Drosophila melanogaster: one gene and its partner. The protein of the gene in region 2 purifies or fractionates together with the protein of the main gene of each other region. This does not show direct contact. Each region holds a gene or a part of one and is shown on either strand. Other genes may lie near its edges.

What was found.
Region 1: the proteins of dgrn (region 2) and SMC5 purify together in Drosophila melanogaster (affinity purification with western blotting, with the first as the bait; one study listed by BioGRID). This does not show direct contact.

What each region holds. Positions count from the first base shown.
Region 1 is NT_037436.4:21,567,692-21,574,041, forward strand, and holds SMC5 (structural maintenance of chromosomes 5), read left to right. Parts: upstream 1-1,560; 5' UTR 1,561-1,687; coding exon 1,688-1,761; intron 1,762-1,829; coding exon 1,830-2,202; intron 2,203-2,265; coding exon 2,266-2,444; intron 2,445-2,565; coding exon 2,566-2,812; intron 2,813-2,864; coding exon 2,865-2,963; intron 2,964-3,028; coding exon 3,029-3,316; intron 3,317-3,370; coding exon 3,371-3,472; intron 3,473-3,530; coding exon 3,531-3,739; intron 3,740-3,798; coding exon 3,799-3,962; intron 3,963-4,040; coding exon 4,041-4,370; intron 4,371-4,425; coding exon 4,426-4,643; intron 4,644-4,699; coding exon 4,700-4,924; intron 4,925-4,994; coding exon 4,995-5,219; intron 5,220-5,284; coding exon 5,285-5,442; intron 5,443-5,498; coding exon 5,499-5,616; intron 5,617-5,676; coding exon 5,677-5,772; 3' UTR 5,773-5,832; downstream 5,833-6,350. Other genes in the region: CG7634 (uncharacterized protein), read left to right, coding at 1-36; CRIF (CR6-interacting factor), read right to left, coding at 444-1,142.
Region 2 is NT_033777.3:5,822,992-5,827,097, forward strand, and holds dgrn (degringolade), read left to right. Parts: upstream 1-1,623; 5' UTR 1,624-1,957; coding exon 1,958-1,984; intron 1,985-2,041; exon of another isoform or gene 2,042-2,044; coding exon 2,045-2,453; intron 2,454-2,507; coding exon 2,508-2,597; intron 2,598-2,813; coding exon 2,814-3,247; 3' UTR 3,248-3,585; downstream 3,586-4,106. Other genes in the region: Sec20 (secretory 20), read right to left, coding at 714-1,316, 1,370-1,450.

The sequences.
Region 1 (6,350 bases), on a different chromosome or scaffold from region 2:
GTGTATAGTTCCCTGTCCGTGCGCCATAGCAATTAGAGCTTTGTATTATTTGTATAACCAAAAATATTGATTAATAAATTCTCAGTGCAATTATAATAGTGTAGTGACCTATTAGATACCTATACTCAAGTACCCCTGCGTATTTGGAATTTGCATTCTTATTATCAACTTGCAAGCTCCTTCATGGCTAGATCGACTCGGCTACTGATCCTCTTTTAAAAATAATGCTTGTGTAACGTATATATTACACAAACATCGGGCTTACTTTTCACTAGTCTAAGCAAATTCTTGTCTTAATTTATAAAAATATAAAATATTTTGCAACACTTTAAAATATTTTATGGGAGTACAGATAATAAGTGCTCTTCTTTTTGCAGTGTTTTTATTTTAGTGTAACATACAACAGTTCTTCGCTTAAATCGATGGTTTTGATACTACAAATATTACACTGATGCTTTCTCTACCAGCTTGGCCATCATCTTCTCCTCCTTGGCCTTTCGCTTGGCCTCCTTCTGCTTCTTCTTGTCCTCCTTCTCTTTTTGCTCTAGCATTTCCTTAAAGCGTTCGTCGCGTGTATCCACCTTGAACCCGAAGTGTCGGCGCACCTCCTCTACCAGGCGTTCCTTGCGTTGTATGGCTGCCGCTGCATCCGCCTCCCGCTTAGCGATCTTCGCGTGCAGGTCCGCCTTCCACTGTGTCAACTTCTCCATCTTCTTCGCAATGTCCTCTTCACGGGCATTTATCCTTGCCAGCTCCTCTGCCTTCTGCGCGCGGTTCTTCTCCAGCATTTTCAGGAGTGTTTCTAGTTGCATAACCTGCCTGCTGTCTTTCTCTCCGTGGGAATCGAAGCAAATCTTGGGATTCACATTGCTCTGGGCCCCATACCGGCCGAATGCCTGTCTCTGGTACTTCTCGGTCAAATGAATCCAGGAGTGAGGTTCCTGGTATGGCAATTTGTTAAGGAGCACATTTTTGTGTTGTGGTTGCAGGCCGGATCTGTCCACCGTCTGGGGATATGTTGGTTCCACATCCACGTCGCCGACCAAGGAAGCCGGCAGTTCCGCTTTCGCAGCGCTCGAGTACTGGGCGCACGAGCGGAGGGCAGGAAGTCTGGTGACAACGCTTATCTTGCCTACATTCATTTTGAATTGTATTGTCTAAGCAAAATAGTTTATTAATTTCCAATAGAGATGAGAGAAAATCGATAGCGATGACACCAATGCTGGCAACTAAACCCTTTTGGAGCTAAATTCAGATATTTTTTAGGCCCCGTCAGAAAGATAAGTAATAGATATTAATTGTTGTGACAGTCTGGCTGCATCCCAGCTCAAGCTCTATATATTTCTTTTTTCCTTGCTATTTATTTCTATCAATTTGTAATTATCGTTTCCACGATTTGTTACTGACATTTTACTTGTCAGTTTTTATTCCGAAAATAGATTTCTGAGGCTTAAAATTATCATTTTTATGTTGTCAGCTCAAAATATAAAAGAAACATAAATTGATTATACATACGGGCGGCGCACAAGTGTACCCTTAATATACCAATCGTTATCGACAACAATGGTACGTGCACATATGCCCTAATGCAAAACTAAATTCTTGAAAGCGCGGAATTGCATTTAAAACAACTCGTTTTACTTAAGTTGAAATAAGCATTTGCTCGGATAAAAGCCTACGCCACGACATGGCGGGGGATCGTGCCTTAAGTTCCAAGCAATTGGCGGGGCGCATACATTCCGTGTACTGCAAAGATTTCGTGTAGGTTTATTTCCATCAAAGGCGCAAATTGACAATTTCGCGGCTCATTTGATTATTTCCAACAACAGATCCTACAGCGAGATCACATTCCATCCGAAGCACTACCTGAACGTTCTGACCGGTCCCAATGGCAGTGGCAAGTCCACCATCGTGTCGGCCATAATTTTGGGCCTCGGAGGGGAACCGATTCTCCTTGATCGCTCCGCCAGCGTTGCCGACTACATACAGAGCAACAAAACCTCGGCCACCATAATTGTCCGGGTGTATGGACGCACGCCCAACACCACGGAAACCTTTCGGCGCATAATAAACTCTAATGGCTTGTCTACCTTCTCTGTGAACGACAAAGACACCTCCAAGAAGAACTTTTTGGCTGCTGTATCCTCCTTTAACATACAAGTCAGCAATTTGTGTCAGTTCCTCCCGCAGGATCGGGTTCAGGTATGTCGTTATGTTGGCAATTCATAAATTACACACCTATTTATTGTAAACATACTGTTTCAGGACTTCTCCAAGATGAATCCTCAAGAGCTTTTGCTCAACACAATGTCCTCCGTGTGTGACGAAGACCTGATCAACAGCTTCAACAGTCTAAAGCAAATGCGCACAGAACAGGCGAATGTCCATGCTAATCGGGAAAAAGAGAAAAGTGATCTGGTTAAGAAGCAAAAACGATTGGAACAGTAAGATATAGTTACCCGAGCTTATTTTTATTCACTAAGTAAAATGTAACCAAATGTGTGGATGAAGTACAAAATTTTAATTCTTACTAAAAACCTAATTGTCTTAATATCATTTTATTAGCTTACAAATGACTGTGTCCCAATATAAAGAACGCGAAGAGGTCAAGCAAAAGCTGCAGGTGTACAGTGCGAAGAAATTGTGGGTTGAGACTCAGGCTGGAGAAGCCAAGGCCGCAGAAATGAAAACTCAAGTGAAAAACGCAAAAACTCAGAGCGACAAATTGAAGAACCAACATGACAAACTTCTTCAATCCCAAGAACAAATTGAGAAGGAAAAAGAATCACTCAGAAAGGCCTTATTGGAAAAGGTAATGGGTGGCAGTGTTTTTTAATATATTTTTTAAAAATAAGTTTTTTTAGACACGCTTATTAGAAAACGCTGTAGCGGAGAAGGCGGCTATTGATGGTAAAATGGACTCTTTGAAGCAAGGAATTTACCAAAAAAAATATGAACTGGAGGTTGGTGTTCTTGTTGCATATATCGATCATGTGAATAACTCTTAATCTTACATTCTGTCACATAGCAAAACATTAAAAAATCACGAAGAACGGCCACAGAGTGTGATAACCTAAATCAGTTGGTGGAGAATAAAATTTACGAGCTTGAAACCCTAAATAAGAGCAGGCCTCTGATCGTTTCGGAACTTGAAAGGGCTAAGGAATCGTGCGCAGCTGCCCGCGGGAAAGCAATGGAGCAGTACAGCAGACGGAGACAACTGGAACAAAAACTGAATGATGAAATGATTCCTGAAATTACTGCGTATAAACTTAAAATAGAGCGGTTGAGAAACGTCAAAATGCAAAAGATTGATGTAAGTTCTTACTGAAATAATGAAAACTCAACTTAACGCTACCTTTCATTTTAGGAAATTAGAGCAAAAAATCCGAATTTGGTTGTGGCCATGAACTGGTTGGCGCAAAATAAGCAAAGGTACAAATTGAACGTTTATGACCCAATGATACTTGAGGTGAGCTTTTCAAAATGAAGCCATTACCAATGGCCTAATGTTAAAACCGCTATCATAGCTTACAGTACAAAATCATGAGGACGCAAAGTTTTTGGAAAACGTTGTGGCGCAGCGCGATTTATTTGCATTTGCGTGTGAGGACAAGGGGGATATGTCGGACCTGATCAACGAGTTGTGTGTGAAGCAAAAATTGGGAGTTAACGTTATTTACTGCGCACCATCCGATAGACTCGTGTACAGTCCCAAAACTCCCATCGATGATCTGCGGTATGCACTTGTCAATTGTCCAATACTAGTCCAATACCTAGTTTTAAATACTTTTACAGCTCTTTCGGATTTCGGTCATACCTCGTGGATCTTGTCACGGGACCAATACCACTAATAAACAAGCTGTGCGCTTCCTATTCCATTCATAATATACCAATTGGCACAGAAGCTGTGGGCAATTACACTTCATCCATTCCAAAAGCTATCCGAGTTTATTTCGGCGGTGTGTATATTTTTCTTATTCGGTTTCGCTTCGCAAATGTATAAATTCTGATTTTGAATTCCGTACTGTGCATTTTAGGCAGCAAGAAGTTCGTTGTGACCGCATCCCGCTATCGGTCGGATACTATTCTAACTGAAAGTAGCATTCGAGCGAAGAACCAACTTATTACAGTGGACTCACAACAACTGGCCCTGGTGATGAAACAGTGCTCCGAAGCAGTGAAGGAAAGCGACAGCATTAAAAACGCAATAACCCAGACCGACAATGAATTTGAACGATTGCAAGCTGTTGCAAAGGATGAGCAAGAGAAGAGACGAAAGCTTGACCAAAAAATAGCCCATTTTAATAGCCTGAAAACCGAAATTGAAACGCTCCAAAAGAAGCTGGAAGCCCTGCGCAATAGCGATTGTAAGTATTTCTTAGTGCACTAAATATTCAGCCATTATGAACCGTGTTTTTTCAGCGCTAGACTGTCTTGAAACCAATTTTTGTAACAGTTTGCATAAAGACTTAAAAAAAATATTCGATGCTGATGCGGAATTGTGCTCGTGCTTGAAAGCTATTGACCGACTTATAATTGAAAAGAATATGGCCCAGACAAAGGTATCCATTTATATGCTGCAACATGAGACTCAAATTGAAGCCCTCAAGGAAAGCGAGGAACAGAGTAAAGCAGCAACCGTAAGGAAATCGAAATGCACTTAAGGAATTTATTTATAGGAATGTTTTGCTTGCAGAGAGACTTCCAACAGTTGCTGCAGTGCTTAGAAAATCAAATTAGCGACGTTAACAAACGAAAGAGCGCTATTCAGGGCCTTTGCCACGGAGAAATTCCAACCAGTAGCAAATTTCCTTTTAAGAAGGAATTTAGGGAGCTGGAAAATATAGATTTGCCCGAACTACGAGAGGCAATACATGACTTTCAGGCACGATTGGAGTGCATGAAAAGTGTAAACTCCGAGGTAAAACACTCTTTTAAATTAGTGAACTGAAGCTGATATATCTAATAACTTTCCATATTAAAATATGCAGGCCATCAGCAGCTATCAAGGACTGCAAAATGAAGTCAAGCAACTGGAGGAAGGAATTCAAGAGTCTGTTAACCAAGCAAAGAGCATCGAGTCTGGCATGTCCAATTTATACGACAAATGGGAGCCCAAACTTAATAGCTTGGTAGAAACAATCAGTACCAAGTTCAGCGAATTTATGGAGTCCATTGAATACGTGGGAGAAGTTGTGTTATCCAAAACCGACAAAGTGAGAACTTAAACTGTCCTACATAAAAACTTTACTTCAAATGTATTTCACTTTATTAATTCTAGTATGACTTTGACTCATATGGTATTCAGATAATGGTCCAGTTCAGGAGAGGTCTCCAGCTGCAGCCGCTGGACAAGTTTATTCAATCTGGTGGCGAACGCGCAGTGTCCATCGCCATATACTCATTGTCCTTGCAACATGTCACCCACGTGCCATTCAGGTGATTGCGGAACCCAGCTGCAAACTGACGCCCGATTTATAGTTCTCCATTTCTAGGTGTGTCGATGAAATAAATCAAGGCATGGACGCTACAAATGAACGTCACATATTCGACTTGCTCCTCAAAGAAGCCACCAAGCACGGCTCGGCTCAGTATTTATTTGTAACACCTAAGGTAAATATAAATGCTTATTCATTTAAATATTTAGTTAACTGTTTTAAATCTTCTTTGTAGTTGCTTCGAGACCTGAACTACAACGAACATCTCTGTGTTTCCATTGTTCACAACTCAAAAACTGTTTGCCATGGCATGCAATTCCCGATGGCTTAGACACTTTGGGTCATCCAGATTTACTATATGTATTTTTTTATATTAAACACTACAAAACATATCTATTGCATTTTGTCGAATGACCAGCCTTGTGGGGACTCCTTTTCGAACTGTTGGCCTACTCGGAATAAAATCTGTAAGCCGGTAAACAAGTCCAAAGGCAATGATGCCTGACGATTTGTTTTATCAGATTTCAATTTGTCCTCGATTTAAAACCCTACAACAGCACCTATATCTTATTTCATATGTGAAATGATTTTAACACTACAATGCGAATACTTTTAAGTAAAGAGATGCCTTTGTACATATGTTTTTTAAGTAATTGGATAAACTATTTTGGGATGTTAAAAAATATATTTATATTTATATATATATTTATATATATTTAGATATGCAATTTAATGCAAATCATTTCTTTACAGGGTTAATATTAAGCAAAGTATGTCAAAAGTATGATCCCTCGACGCAAACTATAAAAGTTCAGGTTAACTTCAGATAGATGGTTAGTTTTTTATCAGCTCCAAAGAAGTCGGGTTTTGATCGCAATCCGTGTGTGCCCTTATTATGGTTGGGATTTT
Region 2 (4,106 bases):
AAAAGTAATATCAAAGACAATAGAATTATTCTAGTGTCTTTGCTTTGTTCATATCTTGAGGCACGAAGTGCGGACACAAGCACTCAACAATCATTGCCTTATTAATTTTTCACACGCCGCAAGATGAATACTCTAATGACAAATATTCTTATATAAATTCATTTTTGAAATTTATTTTTGTGATAATATGTACATAGATTTGACTATTTCTAATCTATTTTCAAATAATAATAACGTTAAGGCAATGCAAAACAAGAATTTTTCGCATGGTGCCAATTGATAAAAAATAATATAGATTTAAAGCCAAAGAACTTCTAAGGTGAAGGGCATATTTTGTCAAATTTACAATGCATGTGAATACGTGTGCACACATACAGATGTCTGCTATCACTTTGTGCGTTGAAAAGAGCTGTTCGCTGTAGCGCTCTTCGCTCTCTCGCTCTCTAACAAAAATTCGAGAGAGCCTGGAGCCACCTCTAGAGCCACGGCCAAAAAATCGTGTGCCAAAAAATCGTATGGCGTTACGCATCTTGTTATTCTAGGGTCTTTGGCTGTACCACGTTTACAACTTAGGCAAATCACTAAATAATATAAATATAGGAGCTGTGCTTACAAGGTATGGTCATGTGCTAAGCTTAATCTAGCTATACCTAGACAACAGAAGCGACAACCTTAAGCTATTTTGGGAACGGGTTTTGTCCATTTGTGGAGTCTTAGAAGAGTCGCTTTTGGACGATGTAAAAGACACAGGCGAGGAACAAGGAGAAGGCGAAGAAGAGCAGCATTTTGTCAGTGCACTCGCGTCGTCCGTACTTTTTGAGCAGCTTGCCGGACATGCTAATGCTGCCGGCCGTGTGGTGCAGTTCGTCGCTGGTGGCCTCCACATTTTGCGACGAGGCCACGAGCGTTTCCAGGGTGATGGCGCTCTTCTGGGTGGTCTCCGAGAGGTGCCGCGATATAGCCAGCATCTTCTCGGTCACGTCGTTCTCCTGCGAAACCAGACTGCCCTGGTTGTGCCGCGCCCGTGTTGTGGTTCGTTGGCGTAGCTCACTCTCGCCGGTAATGGCCATTAACTCCTCCCGATTGGCCTTCTCGATCTCCAGCATCGTGGACACGTTTGCTTTTCGGAACGCCTGCAGCGTTTTGGAGAACTGATCACGGTGGTCGTCCACTTCATTGGCCAGCGCAGAGTCTGCCGTGTCCCGCGCCCAGTCGTCCAGCCGCTCGATGCTTTTGCGGATAGCAGACAGTTTGGAGCGGCCCGCTTCGTTCAGCTCCTCGAGTTCGGCGATGGAGGTGCGGCTGTTCAGGATGTCCTAAAAACAGAAGCTCGGTAATGAGGGTTTCTCTTCAGATAGCGGAGACTTACGTGTATTATTGCCTTAGCCTGCAGATTGTTATCGATAAGGTCCTGCCGTATGGCCTGTAATGTAAACGCATCCTTGTCCATGTCTCCAACTTTGTTTTGTTTCGAAAATATTCTATTATTCTGCTTTGGTGACGTGCATTTAACGTTAATTCCCGCAATTTTCTAACACTACCACGGCACGGTATATATCGATGGCATTTAATCGCCTAAAAAATATCGTTTACATAGTGATGGTATGGTTTTGTAATGTCGACATATTTATATACATTTCTTATAATTATTTTGTTATCAAAGAATTTCGCCGAAACGGAAATTTTATTTTTAATAAATTATTGATTTTTATTGAATTACAAGTGTCATTCTAAACAGCATTGTATAATACCGCAAAAATCGATAGTCGATCTTAAATCCTTGTTCCCGAATGTCCGTAAAGTGTCATCTTTAAAATAACCGAATGGTCGCGTGAAAGGAGGAAACTATTTTGCACATTTCAATCTGCACTAAAGCACATGTATATCTGGGTTCACCTGCTTTTGTCTTTACTACGAAATCATTTCACAAGTTTCCTGGTCATTTGTTGCTCGAACAATGTCAGATTCGACTATTTTCCGTTTTGTAAGTATACCCTGGACTTTAAACTAGTTAATTCCGATTTATGATTGATTTATTTAGTAGAACTCATCCATTCTTGATCAGTCAGCGGACAGCAACGTATCCAGTTCGAGCTCCAATTCCAGTGTATCCGACTCTTCTGTGGACTCCCATTCATCCATAGAATCCAATTCGGGACACAATACATCCGTGGAATCTCAGTCATCCGCGGAATCTGATTCATCCGCTGATTCCCATTCGTCCTTGGAACGCCCATCCCCAGTGGAGCGTGATTTATCTGTGGAATCAGACTCATCTTCAGCCACCAATACCAGCGAATCTTCAGTCGGAGAAGCTTCAAACCAACTGCAGTCACCGCAAAGCAATAACCCCTTAAATATGGCTAACTTGTCTGTCTCGACTGAAGATGCTCATTCGCAGATCAGATCACTTACCCAGGATGTGATCCAGATGGAAGCAGAGTTGGATCGCAGTATGTCACTCCATAATCATTACGAAGTTTTCTGTTAATTGTTTCATATTTCAGTGAATCGCTACTGCGAGGAAGTTGTGGCACAGATTGACACCTTCGCCACGAGAACCTCAACGCCAACAACTCGTAGAATTCGCCGCAGAAGTAAGTGCAGATCAAAATGAACGCATCTGGGTTTCACAATGAACAATGTTTTTAATTCCACAATAACCAATGACATAGTTCTTTCTATAACCCTGCCGGGTTACTTACTTTTGAAGGCAAAATTTATCTATATTTTTTAAAATTTTGTGAAAACCAGATAGCTTTCGCGGATAGAGCTAGCAATAAACCGAATACCGTTTCTTACTTTTTCCGTAGCGAGTCCAGTAGAAGTGATAGATCTGTCCCATTTGGACCGTGCACCACCTGTTCGATCCGCTCGGAATCGTGATCCCGATGCTTTCATCGATCTATGCACCCCCGAAGGCCCAAGAAGTCGCACAGTGAATCTTCACTCCAACGACTCCCTCACCATTCTGCCACGTCGGTCAGCCGAAAATGACCCGGTAGTGGATCTCGACGTTGCGTCGCCACCAAAACGCGTTAATCGCGACATTGATGAGTCCCAAAAAGAGGAGTTATACAAGTGCCCCATCTGCATGGACAGTGTATCGAAGCGCGAGCCAGTGTCAACCAAATGTGGACACGTCTTCTGCCGCGAATGCATCGAAACAGCCATCAGAGCTACGCACAAGTGCCCAATATGCAACAAGAAGCTGACCGCACGTCAATTCTTTCGCATTTACTTGTAAGTTGCTTATACTATTTCACATTTTTTGCTCTGTGAGCCTTAATATAATATAGTTTAAAAAAAAACGCTTAACTATGTTAGAGACGGCAAATAATGTCTGTTCTTGTGATTCAGAAAAAATTAGTTATTTAAGTTGTCCTATGTAATCAGTGGCGCCCAAAAATATTTGAATACAACTATAAAAACTAAAGACTTCACTTTTGATGTATGAAACCATCTCAGGCTAGAATAATATAAGAACGACCGAAAGGAGTGTCAAAGTATTATGTAGGCATTTTTCCAAACGCAATTTAACAATGTAACATACATATAATATAATAAATAAAATGGTCCCAACGCATATCAACAGGTTTGTCTCAATCTCATTTTTTATTGTTGGCTACTATTTTTTGAGACAGAAGTCAGACATGGAATTCTGAGATCATTAAAGGGTCGATAAAACAGGATAAATTGGAAACAGGTGGAACATGAAGTGTCTTTAAAGAGACTTTTTCCCTCCAATTTTGTATATATATAACAATATATTTTTTTTTTTTTAAACTTCATTCTATTTATTTTGGTTCCAAAAGGAATCGTTCGGTCAATTCCTCTGAACTTAACCTTATGTGTGTATAAAGGTATATTAGACCAAGTGGTTTCTTAATTATTAAGTACAAAAGGGAAAATGTATCTAGTTATTAATTACTTATTGTGTAAGGGTGTAGGGAGATCGGTGGGGTGTACCCTCTTCAGCCTTCGGAGGGAGATGGGATTAGATAGGCTATTTGCTAGTCGGTTCGGGTGGACCATAAGCCTGTCGGCATAACGGCTGCTGTGAAAATTAATCTGATCCCCAAGAGGGGTAACTTTCAGATCTCTTT